Linked DNA regions of Oryctolagus cuniculus. The main gene of each other region encodes a partner of the protein of the gene in region 2 in a complex. Links are inferred from orthologs where the notes say so. Each region holds a gene or a part of one and is shown on either strand. Other genes may lie near its edges. The genes, in order: YEATS2, TADA2A and TAF12.

Region 1 (3,749 bases), on a different chromosome or scaffold from region 2:
ATGGGTGGCAGAGGGCCAAGCACTTGGGGCACCTTCTACTGCCCTTCCAGGTACATTAGCAGCAGGCTGGATCAGAAGCAGTGAAGTCTAGATTCAAACTGGTACTCCAAAATGGGACATACCACAATGCAGGCCCTGGCGAACACTTTTTCTAATTTACTGTTTTCACTCTCACATCCCTGTTGAACTACAGTAATCTGCTTTCCACTTCCCACTTCTAGAACTGTGGACAGCATACCAATAACCAAACAATAACCTCCATGTTGTCAATTCCATTTAATACACATCTCAGCCACCAATAAGAGGACTAATTCTCCGTCTTCCAGAAACATACCCCTCTCTTGGCTTCATGACACTATGCTCCTTCTTTTTCTCTTAACTCACTGGCTGTTTCTTGGGTCCCAGGTTCAACCTTCTTCCTCTACCAGACCCAAAAGAATTTCAGTTAATCCTTTTCACTTCTTTCTGCATTCTTTCCATAAGTGATCTTACTAGTCCCATACCTCTAAATGGCATCCATATTTTGATTATTTCTAAAATTTTATCTCTAGCTCTACAATTCCCCATATTCTACACACACACACATCTAACTGCTTCAACATACCCCATAACTAATATGCAACCCAAATTTTCTATTATTTTTATTTATTTGAGAGGGACAGAGTGAGCCTATGGGATGCCCCCTCCTGCCCCCCATCTGCTGGTTCACCCATCAAATGCCTACCAATGGCCCAGGCTAGGCCAAACAGGAAACCAGGAGCCTGAAAGCCAGGATACAGGATCTCAACTCAGGTCTCCCATATGGGTGACTGGGCCCCAATTGCTTGTGCCATCACTGCTACCTCCCACAGTCCACATCAGCAGAAAGCTGATGTCAGGAGCTGGAGCTGGGAATCTAACTCAGGAACCCTGATGTGGGACATAAACATCCTAACTGGCAACTGAACCACTAGGTCAAATGCCCACCCCTGCACCTCAAATTCAACACATCTGAAACAGAAGTCATCATTTTTACCATCTGAAATTTCTCTCACTGGGCCAGCGTTGTGGTGCCACAGGGTTATGCTGCTGCTGTTGACACTGGGATCCCATATCATATCCCAGCTGCTGCGCTTCTAATCCAGCTCCCCCCTATTGATGCAGATGATGGCCCAACTGCTTGAGCCCTGGCCACCCACAGGGGAGCTCAAGATGGAGCTCCTGGTTCCTGGCTTCAGCCTGGCCTAGCCTAGCCTAGGGCCCTGGGGAAGTGGCCCAGTGGATGGAAGAGTTCTCTCTCTCACTCTGCTTTTCAAATAAAAAAAATCTTTAAAAAGTTTGCCTTTTTCTTTCTCATCTCAGTAAATGGTGCATCAGCTGTTCAAAACCAAAATCAAAACAGCAAAGATTCCTCCCTTTCCCTCACCAATTCATCTCCAAGTCTTCTACATTCTACCACCAAAGTATTGTTCAATCCTTTTAATCCTCGTCCACCTCCAATGCCATAGGCCTAGGCCAAAGATACAGCAAACAGCAACTTAAAGGATCTCCGATCTTCCACCCTTGCCTCCTCCTCCACCCAGTCTACCAACGATGCTACCCACCTACCTGTAATCTTCAAAGCCTTCCCAGGAGCACTGAACTACTAACCACTATCTTTGAGAAAGATATCCACAACCAAAAATACACACTCAGTGGCAGTATCTCTAGTCAGGAAAATCAGCGGTACTTTTCCCTCACTTTGCTTGTCTGTATTTTAAATTTTTCTATGATAAACACTTGCTACCTATTAAGGGGAAATGATATTGCTGAAAATATGGACTATCCCATCGCATTTTCTATATGTTACCGAGAAAAGGGAACAGAAAGTGTGGATCCACTCTAATGGTTAAGAAACCTGTTCAGATGCAAACACTCGCAAACATGTATCCTAACTCTACGAACGGCTGGTCAGAGCTGGAGAAATACCAATGGTATTTTTCCGCCTCTACTTCTCATTTTGTAACATAATTACAACCATAACGGGGGTGGGGGGCTGTTATAAAGTCCATCTCTCCGGGGCCCCTCGGCCCTCACCGCCAGCCCAGCACAGCCCCCCAGCCGCGCTCAATCCCACCTGGCCGCGGCGCGGGCGGGGGTGGCGGACGCAGCTCCGAGGCACATTCCAACATTCTTTTGCTAAACCCACAACTTGCTGGGGCCGGGGCCAGATCTTCACATCTGTCTTCAATACCATGGGCAGACCGCCAGGCGGAACGCCCCAAAAGCGCGGGCCACCGCGTCTCCGGGGCCGTCCCCCGCCCCCTCAGAGAGCGCCGGTCCTTTTGAAAGGAGCCCCCTCAGTCCGCGTTCCGGTTCCCGCCTCCGACGCTCCAGACACGCCGCCCCAGCCGGCTCCTCGCGATTCACTGCTCCCGGCAGCCACCAGCTCCCTCCCTGCCCCCTTCCTCCGCCCCGGGCTCGCCGGGTCCGGCCTCCGCAGCCGCGGCCCGCGGGATGGGGGAGGGGCGCGCACGTGCCCGCGCCACCCCCGCCCAGACAATGCCCCGGAGAGCGGGGCGCGCGCCCGACCGGCCCCATCCCGCTCCCGCCAACACTCACCCTTCTGCTGGTTCCCAGCGACGGCGCAGGCCCCGCCCCGCTCCGGGAGCGGGCACAGGGAGGTGAGGGAACAGAAGAAGCCCCGCAACGGCGGCCCGCCACGAGGCCCCGGAGACCCCGCAGCCCGCGGAAGCACACAGCTCGGAGGAGCTCTCCCGGTCCGTTCCGCCCCGCACGTCAGCTGTAGGGGCGGTCCGGGGCGCGCGCGCGAGGGCGGCAGTGGCGGCGCGCGAGCGCGCGCGCGCGGAGGCCCAGGGCGGAGCTCGCAGAAACGTGGGTGGGGCGGGGGCGGGACTTGCGGGGATGGGGGCGGGGCGGCGCTGCCCGGGCTCTGACTCTGGGCTGCGTGGCCCAGCTGCCTGGGGTTGCGGGCGTTGGTTTTGGCAAAGGCACTGTCATTCATCATTTTCCTGCTAAAAAGATGGCGCATCCCAGACCCAGGCTTAATAGAGTGTTCATTCTGCCGGCATTTATGAACTTCCATGGTAATAACAACAGTGACTGATTTTCGTGTGTGCCTTCTCTTGGCAACCTCTGAGGGAGGGATGCAAACAGCTATTACTAACCCGTTTCATAGATACGGAAGCTGAGGCTGGCAATTATGTCCTTTCTAGGTCACAGAGCTAGTTAGTGACAATCCAGGAAGTCGCTGTCCCCCTAAATAACCCTTGAGGCCAGTCTTCTCTTTGCTTGTGCTTACTACCCTACCCAAGACACCACCATGTCTCTGCCCAAGCCTTCAGTCGCCTCCCAGCTGGTCTCCAGGGACTACCTGTTTCGTCCTTCTCCCCCATGCCTTCCAGGCACTGTAAACATTTACCACTAGAGTTTAGTGGTGATTGTAGGGCAAAAACTTTATGAATTTTTTACACTCTATCCATATTATCATATGCTGAAGTATTTGAAGTTTAGGATTTACTCCTGTGTCCCCAATAACAAGCTCAGTGCATTGCACATCGTATGTGCTCAAAAACTCTTTGTCCAATATATGAATTGGAGGGACAAGAACTAACTCCCAAGCCCGGCATGACGGGGCAAAAGAGGAGTTTATATTACGTCACCTCTGGCCTTCTATTAGGGATAAAAATAGATGAACAATATTTGTTCAACAGATTTTGGTTGCATTTCTATTCCGCATTTCAAGCACTATGTTAGGCACTGAGCAAACA
Region 2 (3,649 bases):
ATTAGTTTGGAGTTATCAAATTACAGACATCTTATGTCTGTGACTTAAAATATCAAGAACAAACCACTTTGACAGTTATGTATGAATGAAAGTATTGCTTCCTTCTCTCCTTTCTAAAGGCAAGATGTTGCCAATCAGATGTGCACCAAGACAAAGGAAGAGTGTGAGAAGCACTATATGAAGCATTTCATCAATAACCCTCTGTTTGCATCTACCCTGCTAAACCTGAAACAAGCAGAGGAGGCAAAAACTGCTGACACGGCCATTCCATTTCACTGTAAGTGCCTCCCTGGTTTGGTAAGAGATGCTTAGCACATTGCTGGGCCCTGTATGAACAGTGATTGGAACAGTTAAAGAGTATGTGGAATAAAGGGGGAGTTGGCATGGGAGCTCTTGAGTCAGGGTTATAATGTGGCAGAGAGGGACTGGTGCTGTGGCACAGTGGGTTAAGCTGCCGTCTGTAGTGCCGTCATCCCATGTGGGCAGCAGTTCTAGTCCCAGCTACTCCACTTCTCATCCAGCTCCCTACCAATGTCTCTGGGAAGCGGTGAAAAATGACCCAGGTCCCTGGGACCCTGTACCTACATGGGAGAAGACCTGGAAGAAGCTCCTGGTTCCTGGCTTCAGCCTTCAGACTGGCACATCCCTGACCTTTGGAGCCATTTGGGGAGTGAACCAATAGATGGAAAATTTCTCTCTCTCTGTCACTTGTTCTCCCTCTCTGTAATTCTGCCTTTCAAATAAATAAACCTAAAAAAATGTATATAATGTGGCAAAGAAGGAACATCTCTCAGGGGTCAGAGTTCTTACTGGACATCTGGGAACCCGAAACCAGTGTGTAGTTGGGCCCTCTCTGAGTCTCTTGAACATAGCAATTAATTTTAGTGCTTGCTTCTGTAAGATGAGATGTGAAAAAGGGACCAACCTTTCCATGCTGTGGTGAGTAGAAGCCTTTAGCAATCCCTTAGGAGGGTTTATTATCTTTTTTTTTTTTTTAAGATTTTATTTATTTATTTGAGAGGTAGAGTTACAGATAGTGAGAGTTAGAGACAGTGAGAAAGGTCTTCCCTTCGTTGGTTCACTCCCCAAAAGACTGCAACGGCTGAAGCTGTGCCAATCCAAAGTTGGGAGCCAGGAGTTTCTTCCGGATCTCCCACGTGGGTACAGGGGCCCAAGGACTTGGGCCATCTTCTACGGCTTTCCCAGGACATAGCAGAGAGCAGGATCAGAAGAGGAGCAGCCAGGATTAGAACCGGCACCCCTATGGGATGCTGGTGTTGCAGGCAAAGGATTAACCTACGACGCCATGACGCCAGCCCCTATCTTTTTTATTTTTATTTTTTTTAAGATTTATTTATTTTGCCGGTGCCATGGTTCACTAGGCTAATCCTCCACCTGGGGCACTGGTTCTGTGCCGGTTGCTCCTCTTCCAGTCCAGCTCTCTGCTGTGGTCCAGGAGTGCAGTGGAGGATGGCCCAAGTCCTTGGGCCCTGCACCTGCATGGGAGACCAGGAAGAAGCACCTGGCTCCTGGCTTCGGATTGACGCAGGTAGCGGCCACTTGCGGGGTGAACCAACGGAAAAAGGGAGATCTTTCTCTTTGTCTCTCTCTCTCTCTCTGTCTAACTCTGCCTGTCCAAAAAAAGGATTTATTTATTTTATTTGAAAGGCAGAGTTACAGAGAAGCAGAGGCAGAGAGAGAGAGAGAAAGGTCTTCCATCCACTGGTTCACTCCCCAAATGGCTGCAGCTCCCGATGGTGTGCTAATCCAAAGCCAGGAGCCAGGAGCTTCTTCCAACATGGGTGCAGGTGCCCAAGGACTTGGGCCGTCTTCCACTGCTTTGCCAGGCAATAGCAGAGAGCTGGATTGGAAGTGGAGCAGCCCAGACTCGAACCAGCGTTCATTTGGGATGCCAGCATTGCAGGCGGTGGCTCTAACCTCTATGCCACAATGCCAGCCCCGAGTTTATCATCTTCAATGAGTTGCTTAGAGAGTCTAGTGCTTGGGTGATTACTAATTGCCTTAGTGTCAAGTTCAAGGAGCAGTTTATCATTTTTGTTCACTTGGTTTTAGCAATGATGTCAGACTTTTAATCTCACAGACCTGTGGGACTAGTGGGTCTTTATAAACCATCTCAAAACATGATGAATTACAAATGTGCATCTTTCCTGAATGACTCCCAGAGCACAAGTCATGAGATATGAATGTCTTCACGTCTCCCTTCCCTTCCTCAGACTCCATAGACTTAGTTGTGTACCTGGCTAGCTCAGAGGCAGAGGATACTGCCTACTTGGATAGCACTCCTCTCAAATCTATTGGGCCATTTGTTCCCAGCTACAGCCCAGTGAGATGACCAGGGCAAGTGTTTTCGTTTTACACAGGAAAAATTCAGGTTCAGAAGGATTAAATAATTTGTGCAAGATCATGGTACTGTTGGGTGGCAGAGCTGGGACTCCATTCCAGCCAACCTCCAGATCAAGTGGGTTTTTTGGCTTCTCAGTTGATGAGGCTCTTAAATTGAGATTGGCACCAAGGGGTAAGGGATCTGAAGCTGACAAGGATCTTGTGTCCGTTCATTTTAGGAAAGTAGAATCAGAGGAAGTTTTCCCATTTTTATTCAGAGGGTTCCGTAAGTCCTATTTCCTAGTCTGAGGAATCAGCTAGTTTCCATAGTGCTTTATTATCTTTTTCATTTTTCCTTTTATTTTTTTAATTTATTTATTCTCTCAGATACTGTCTTTGTCCATACAAAAGTGTTTCAGAGTGTAAATAAGGACTGTTTTGTGTCACTTCTTCCTGTCAGTACTCTGTTAGTCAATGAGACAAACTCTGAATCTTCCAGCTGCAGATGACCCACCTCGACCCACCTTTGACTCCTTGCTTTCTCGGGACATGGCAGGATACATGCCAGCTCGAGCAGATTTCATTGAGGTAGGAAACACCTGGTTTTGTTTTTGATGTTTGCTGGAGCTCTTGCCTATGGAATCCATACCACCTGAAAGAGATGTGTAAAACAGTTCATTTGTCAAGCTCTTAGGAAGACACAGTTTCTTCCATTTGAGTTCTTTTTCTCATTTGTAAACATTTGCACTAGTAGAACAGTAAAAGTTTTAAATTGTATTGGTTCTGGCTCATTGTTCCTTTGAATTTATGGAGTTTTCTGCAGTATTTCTCACGTCATACTAGCGGGTTTCAAGGTTGTACTGTATTAGGAGTTGGCAGACTTTTCCTATTATAGGCCAGATAGTAAATATTTTAGGTTTTTCAGGTCTTAGTTTCCGTTGCAACTAAACTTTGCTGTCACTGTGCATAAGCAGTGTGGATAATATTGTGTTCCAATAAACTTTATATGTGGCCAGTGCTGTGGCTCACTTGGCTAATCCTCCGCCTGCGGCGCCGGCACCCCTGGTTCTAGTCCCGGTTGGGGCACCGGGTACTAGTCCCGGTTGCTCCTCTTCCAGTTCAGCTCTCTGCTGTGGGCCGGGAGGGCAGTGGAGGATGGCCCAAGTGCTTGGGTCCCTGCACCCACATGGGAGACCGGGAAGAACCTGGCTCCTGGCTTCAGATCGGCGCAGCTCCAGCTGTGGCAGCCATTAGGGGGGTGAACCAACAGAAGGAAGATCTTTCTCTCTGTCTTTCTTTCACTGTC
Region 3 (3,649 bases), on a different chromosome or scaffold from region 2:
TATCTATTTCTTATGGCTGTGAAGGGCAGAATCAGGATCTTCAGTTCAAAGACAGGAACAGATTTTATAATCACTGAATAAAATTAATAATGGCAGCATCTGGATAAACAAGAATGAATGACTGAAGGCAAAGTTACTTTTATCATAGGAATAAGAAGCCCATTTCTTTTATTTAACAGCTATGTAGCTAACATAAATATTAAAAACACCCGAAAAAGTGTTGTGTTGATATGTATGTATGGATGGATGTATAAGTGCATGTGCACAACCATACATAACACAAAGTAAAAACAGATAAACACTATGTTGGATAAATGATAAAGAATGTTTCAATTTCAGAGGAGGGAAGAGGCCTTTTCAGCTCAGAGGAAGAGGCAGTATCTGAGATGGACATCTCTTAAAGCATTCCCAGTTCCAGTAACAGGTAAGAGGTGCTTACAGAGAACAAAATGGAAGAGGATGATACCTGATTGTTTTCAGGGCTAAGACGACCTCCTGTCCCAGGAGTGCCTGGTATTTTTACCACTGTAGTGCTATTGGCCATGGATCCTTGTGGAGGGGTGCTGGCTGGTTCCGGTTTTATGGATGAGAAATTGGAGAGGTTGATTAGGGCTGAGGGACCAAACTGGTTCATAATCTGCCGAGCTTTGGACTTCAGCTCATAGAGCTTATCAAGATCTTGTTTCTTTTTGGAGCTGTGAGGACCAAGGCCAATCAACTGGAGAAGGAAAACATGAGAATTAGCTCTAGAAGCACATGGAATAAGGATGTTTTGAAAGTAAAATTTTATGAGGTCTGATATTGAGGGTCTTCAGTGTCTCTGGAATACCTACATGTTAGAAATGGAGGAATAAAGACTATTCATTGCTCTCACCTGATATTTAGAAACCATCTCTTCTCCAAAAGCTAAATGAAATAGTCCACAAAATCAAAATAAGGAAGAAAGTAAATGAAATGAGGAATCTTATGAATAAAAACAAACTAAAATAAGCAATACACTTTTGAGGACTTTATAAAAAACAGTAGTTGCTTAAGTATCACATGCATTAAGTACCACATGTATCAACATTAAATGCAAGTAAGTCATGTCACAATCACATACTTAAAACCCAGTCACAGAGTTTAAGAAAACAGATTAGTTTATTTTGGTATTTCAAAACATACTTAAATCTATGTCAAGGTTATACGCAATAAATGCAGCTTTTAGCAACTGTTAAAGTAAATACTTCTTTATCAATATGAGCAACTTCTCTGTAAGTGTTAGAAATCTTTACGTGCATGCAGTAACCCTAGCCTGAAGCAGCCAAGACTCCTATCTTAGAGCCATGTGATCAACTCTGTGGACATCAGCTTGCTATCGCTGGAATCAGAAGCACATTCACAAAGTTCTACCCACAGAGTCCTCAGGAGCTTACTTACAGCTATCTGAGTGTCTAGATCTTTAATTACATCAGCAACAGCTGTGAGCCCGGTGAAATGAGAGGCAGCCATTTTCAAAAGCTACCTGTAAATGAACAACTAGCATCAGGTATCACCTTTGCCATTGAACCATTTCAGCGGCATGGCCTGGCACATCTTCACCAACTAGGACCCAAATAAATGGTGTTCAAACATTACCTTCTTGTTCCTACTGAGTGCCAAGAAAAACATCTCCAACTCATTCAAACCATTTTAAAAATTAATTAATGAAGGCTGGCGCTATGGCTTAGCAGGTAAAGCTACCACCTGTAGCACCGGCATCCCATATGGATGCTGGTTTGAGTCCCAGCTGCTCTACTTCCAATCAAGCTCCCTGCTAATGTGCCTGAGAAAGCAGCATAAGATGGCCCAAGTACGTGGGCCCCTGCACCCACATGTGAGACCCGGAAGGAGCTCCTGGCTCTTGGCTTCAGCCTGGCTCAGCCCTGGCCATCGCGGCCATTTAGGGATTGAACTAGTGGATGGAAAATCTCTTTTTCTGCCTCTGCCTCTTTGTAACTCTGCCTTTCAAATAAGCAAATCTTCAAAAAAGTTAATGATTATAGCATATACAGATTATCTTCCTATCAGATGAATGTTCTACTGTTAAAGATAACATGTTATGTATAGGAGATACTTTTTAAGGCAAAATTGTGTGATTTGAACTTGCAGGAATTATGTCAATAGCTTTCAGAGCATGGCAAAGCTTGGCAACCTGCAAGTCTATCTGTATCTATTCCACTCTAGCCCCTCAGAGTTCCTTGTGATTTCTCGTGAGAAATCATGTTCTTCTGGTTTACTCCTAATAAAGGATACGAACAACAAACTGGCTAAGCAACCTAGGGAAGCAAGACTGACTTGTTAGCCAAAAACCAGCTGATGGGAACAGCAAAGCATCAGGATCATTTTTCTTTTTTTCAACTTTGTATGGCTCATGCCTCTTTGCTCTCTAGTCATTAATATTATTCACGGAAGAGTCGGGATAGAAGATTGTTGATGCGGTAATAGTTGTTCTAATATTATTTTTCCCAGAGCAACTTCTGTGCAAAAACCTTATTAAAGATTACCAGAGGGACCAGCTGTGGTACAGTTGGTTAAGCTGTCACCTGTGATGACAGCATCCCATATGGATGCCAATTTGAGTCCTGGCTGCTCCACTTCCAATCCAACTCCCTGCTAATGAGTCTGGGAAACTAGCAGAAGATGGTCCCAGTGCTTGTGCCCCAGCTACCCATGTGGGAGACCTGGATGTAGTTCCAGACTCCTGGCTTCAGCTTGAATATTGTGGCTACTTGGGAAGTGAACCAGAGGATAGAAGATTCTCTCTCTCTTTTTCCATTTATGTAACTCTAACTTTTAAATAAATAAACTTCAATAAAGAAAAGATTATCAGACTCTATCCTCATCACTCTAGCCTTACACTGAAGAAATTATACCTCTCAAATAACTTTCCCACAATCTTTAAGGGATTTCCCAAACAGTACTGAGTATTGCTCAGAATAAGTGGATTTTTTTTTGCAATGCAGTTTTTTTTTTTAGAAAATAGCTTTTTTATAAAAAATGATAATTTACGTGAAGACACATGGCCTTCTGGCAGAGGAAAGTCAAGGAAGGCTTCACAGAGGAGGGGAGTTTATTTTTTTAGATTTATTTATTTGAAAGGCAGAGTGACAGAGAAGGGAGAGACAGAGAGATCTTCCATCTGCTGGTTCACTATCCAAATTGCCACAACAACAGGCAGGGCTGGGTAGAGCAAAAGCTAGGTACCAGGAGCTCCATTCTGGTGTCCCTCATGGTTTACAGGGTCCCAAGTACTTGGGCCATCTTCTGCTGCCTCTGCAGGCACACTAGCATGAAGCTGAATGGGAAGCAGAGTAGTCAGGACTTGAATAGGCACTTTAATATGGGATGCAGATGTCACCAGTAGTGGCTTAACCCACTGTACCACAACTCTGGCCCCTGTAATAGAAATTTTTGTATAATGGGAATTCCTGTTATTAGACCTCAAGATGAAAAATATGGACTATCTACATAGTACCAAATATGAAAAATCACATAACAAATTAAGAACCTTAAGGAAAAGCTCCAATGGTGGTCACTTTCAACAAACAGTAAGAAATTTAAGTGTGGGGCCAGCACTGTGGCATAGCAGGTAAAGCCACTACCTGCAGTGCCAGCAATCCATATGGGT

The links.
Region 1: TADA2A (region 2) and YEATS2 share a complex: the UniProt entries of both Homo sapiens proteins name them as parts of the ADA2A-containing complex. The link is inferred for Oryctolagus cuniculus from reciprocal best matches to the Homo sapiens genes TADA2A and YEATS2.
Region 3: TADA2A (region 2) and TAF12 share a complex: the UniProt entries of both Homo sapiens proteins name them as parts of the PCAF complex. The link is inferred for Oryctolagus cuniculus from reciprocal best matches to the Homo sapiens genes TADA2A and TAF12.

What each region holds. Positions count from the first base shown.
Region 1 is NC_091435.1:93,304,563-93,308,311, reverse strand, and holds the start of YEATS2 (YEATS domain-containing protein 2), read right to left. Parts: upstream 2,290-3,749; 5' UTR 2,151-2,289; coding exon 2,096-2,150; intron 1-2,095. UniProt on the Homo sapiens protein: Chromatin reader component of the ATAC complex, a complex with histone acetyltransferase activity on histones H3 and H4. YEATS2 specifically recognizes and binds histone H3 crotonylated at 'Lys-27' (H3K27cr).
Region 2 is NC_091448.1:38,154,145-38,157,793, forward strand, and holds part of TADA2A (transcriptional adapter 2-alpha), read left to right. Parts: intron 1-119; coding exon 120-277; intron 278-2,842; coding exon 2,843-2,931; intron 2,932-3,649. UniProt on the Homo sapiens protein: Component of the ATAC complex, a complex with histone acetyltransferase activity on histones H3 and H4. Required for the function of some acidic activation domains, which activate transcription from a distant site. Binds double-stranded DNA.
Region 3 is NC_091438.1:143,068,449-143,072,097, reverse strand, and holds part of TAF12 (transcription initiation factor TFIID subunit 12), read right to left. Parts: intron 1,505-3,649; 5' UTR 1,492-1,504; coding exon 1,420-1,491; intron 719-1,419; coding exon 467-718; intron 1-466. UniProt on the Homo sapiens protein: The TFIID basal transcription factor complex plays a major role in the initiation of RNA polymerase II (Pol II)-dependent transcription.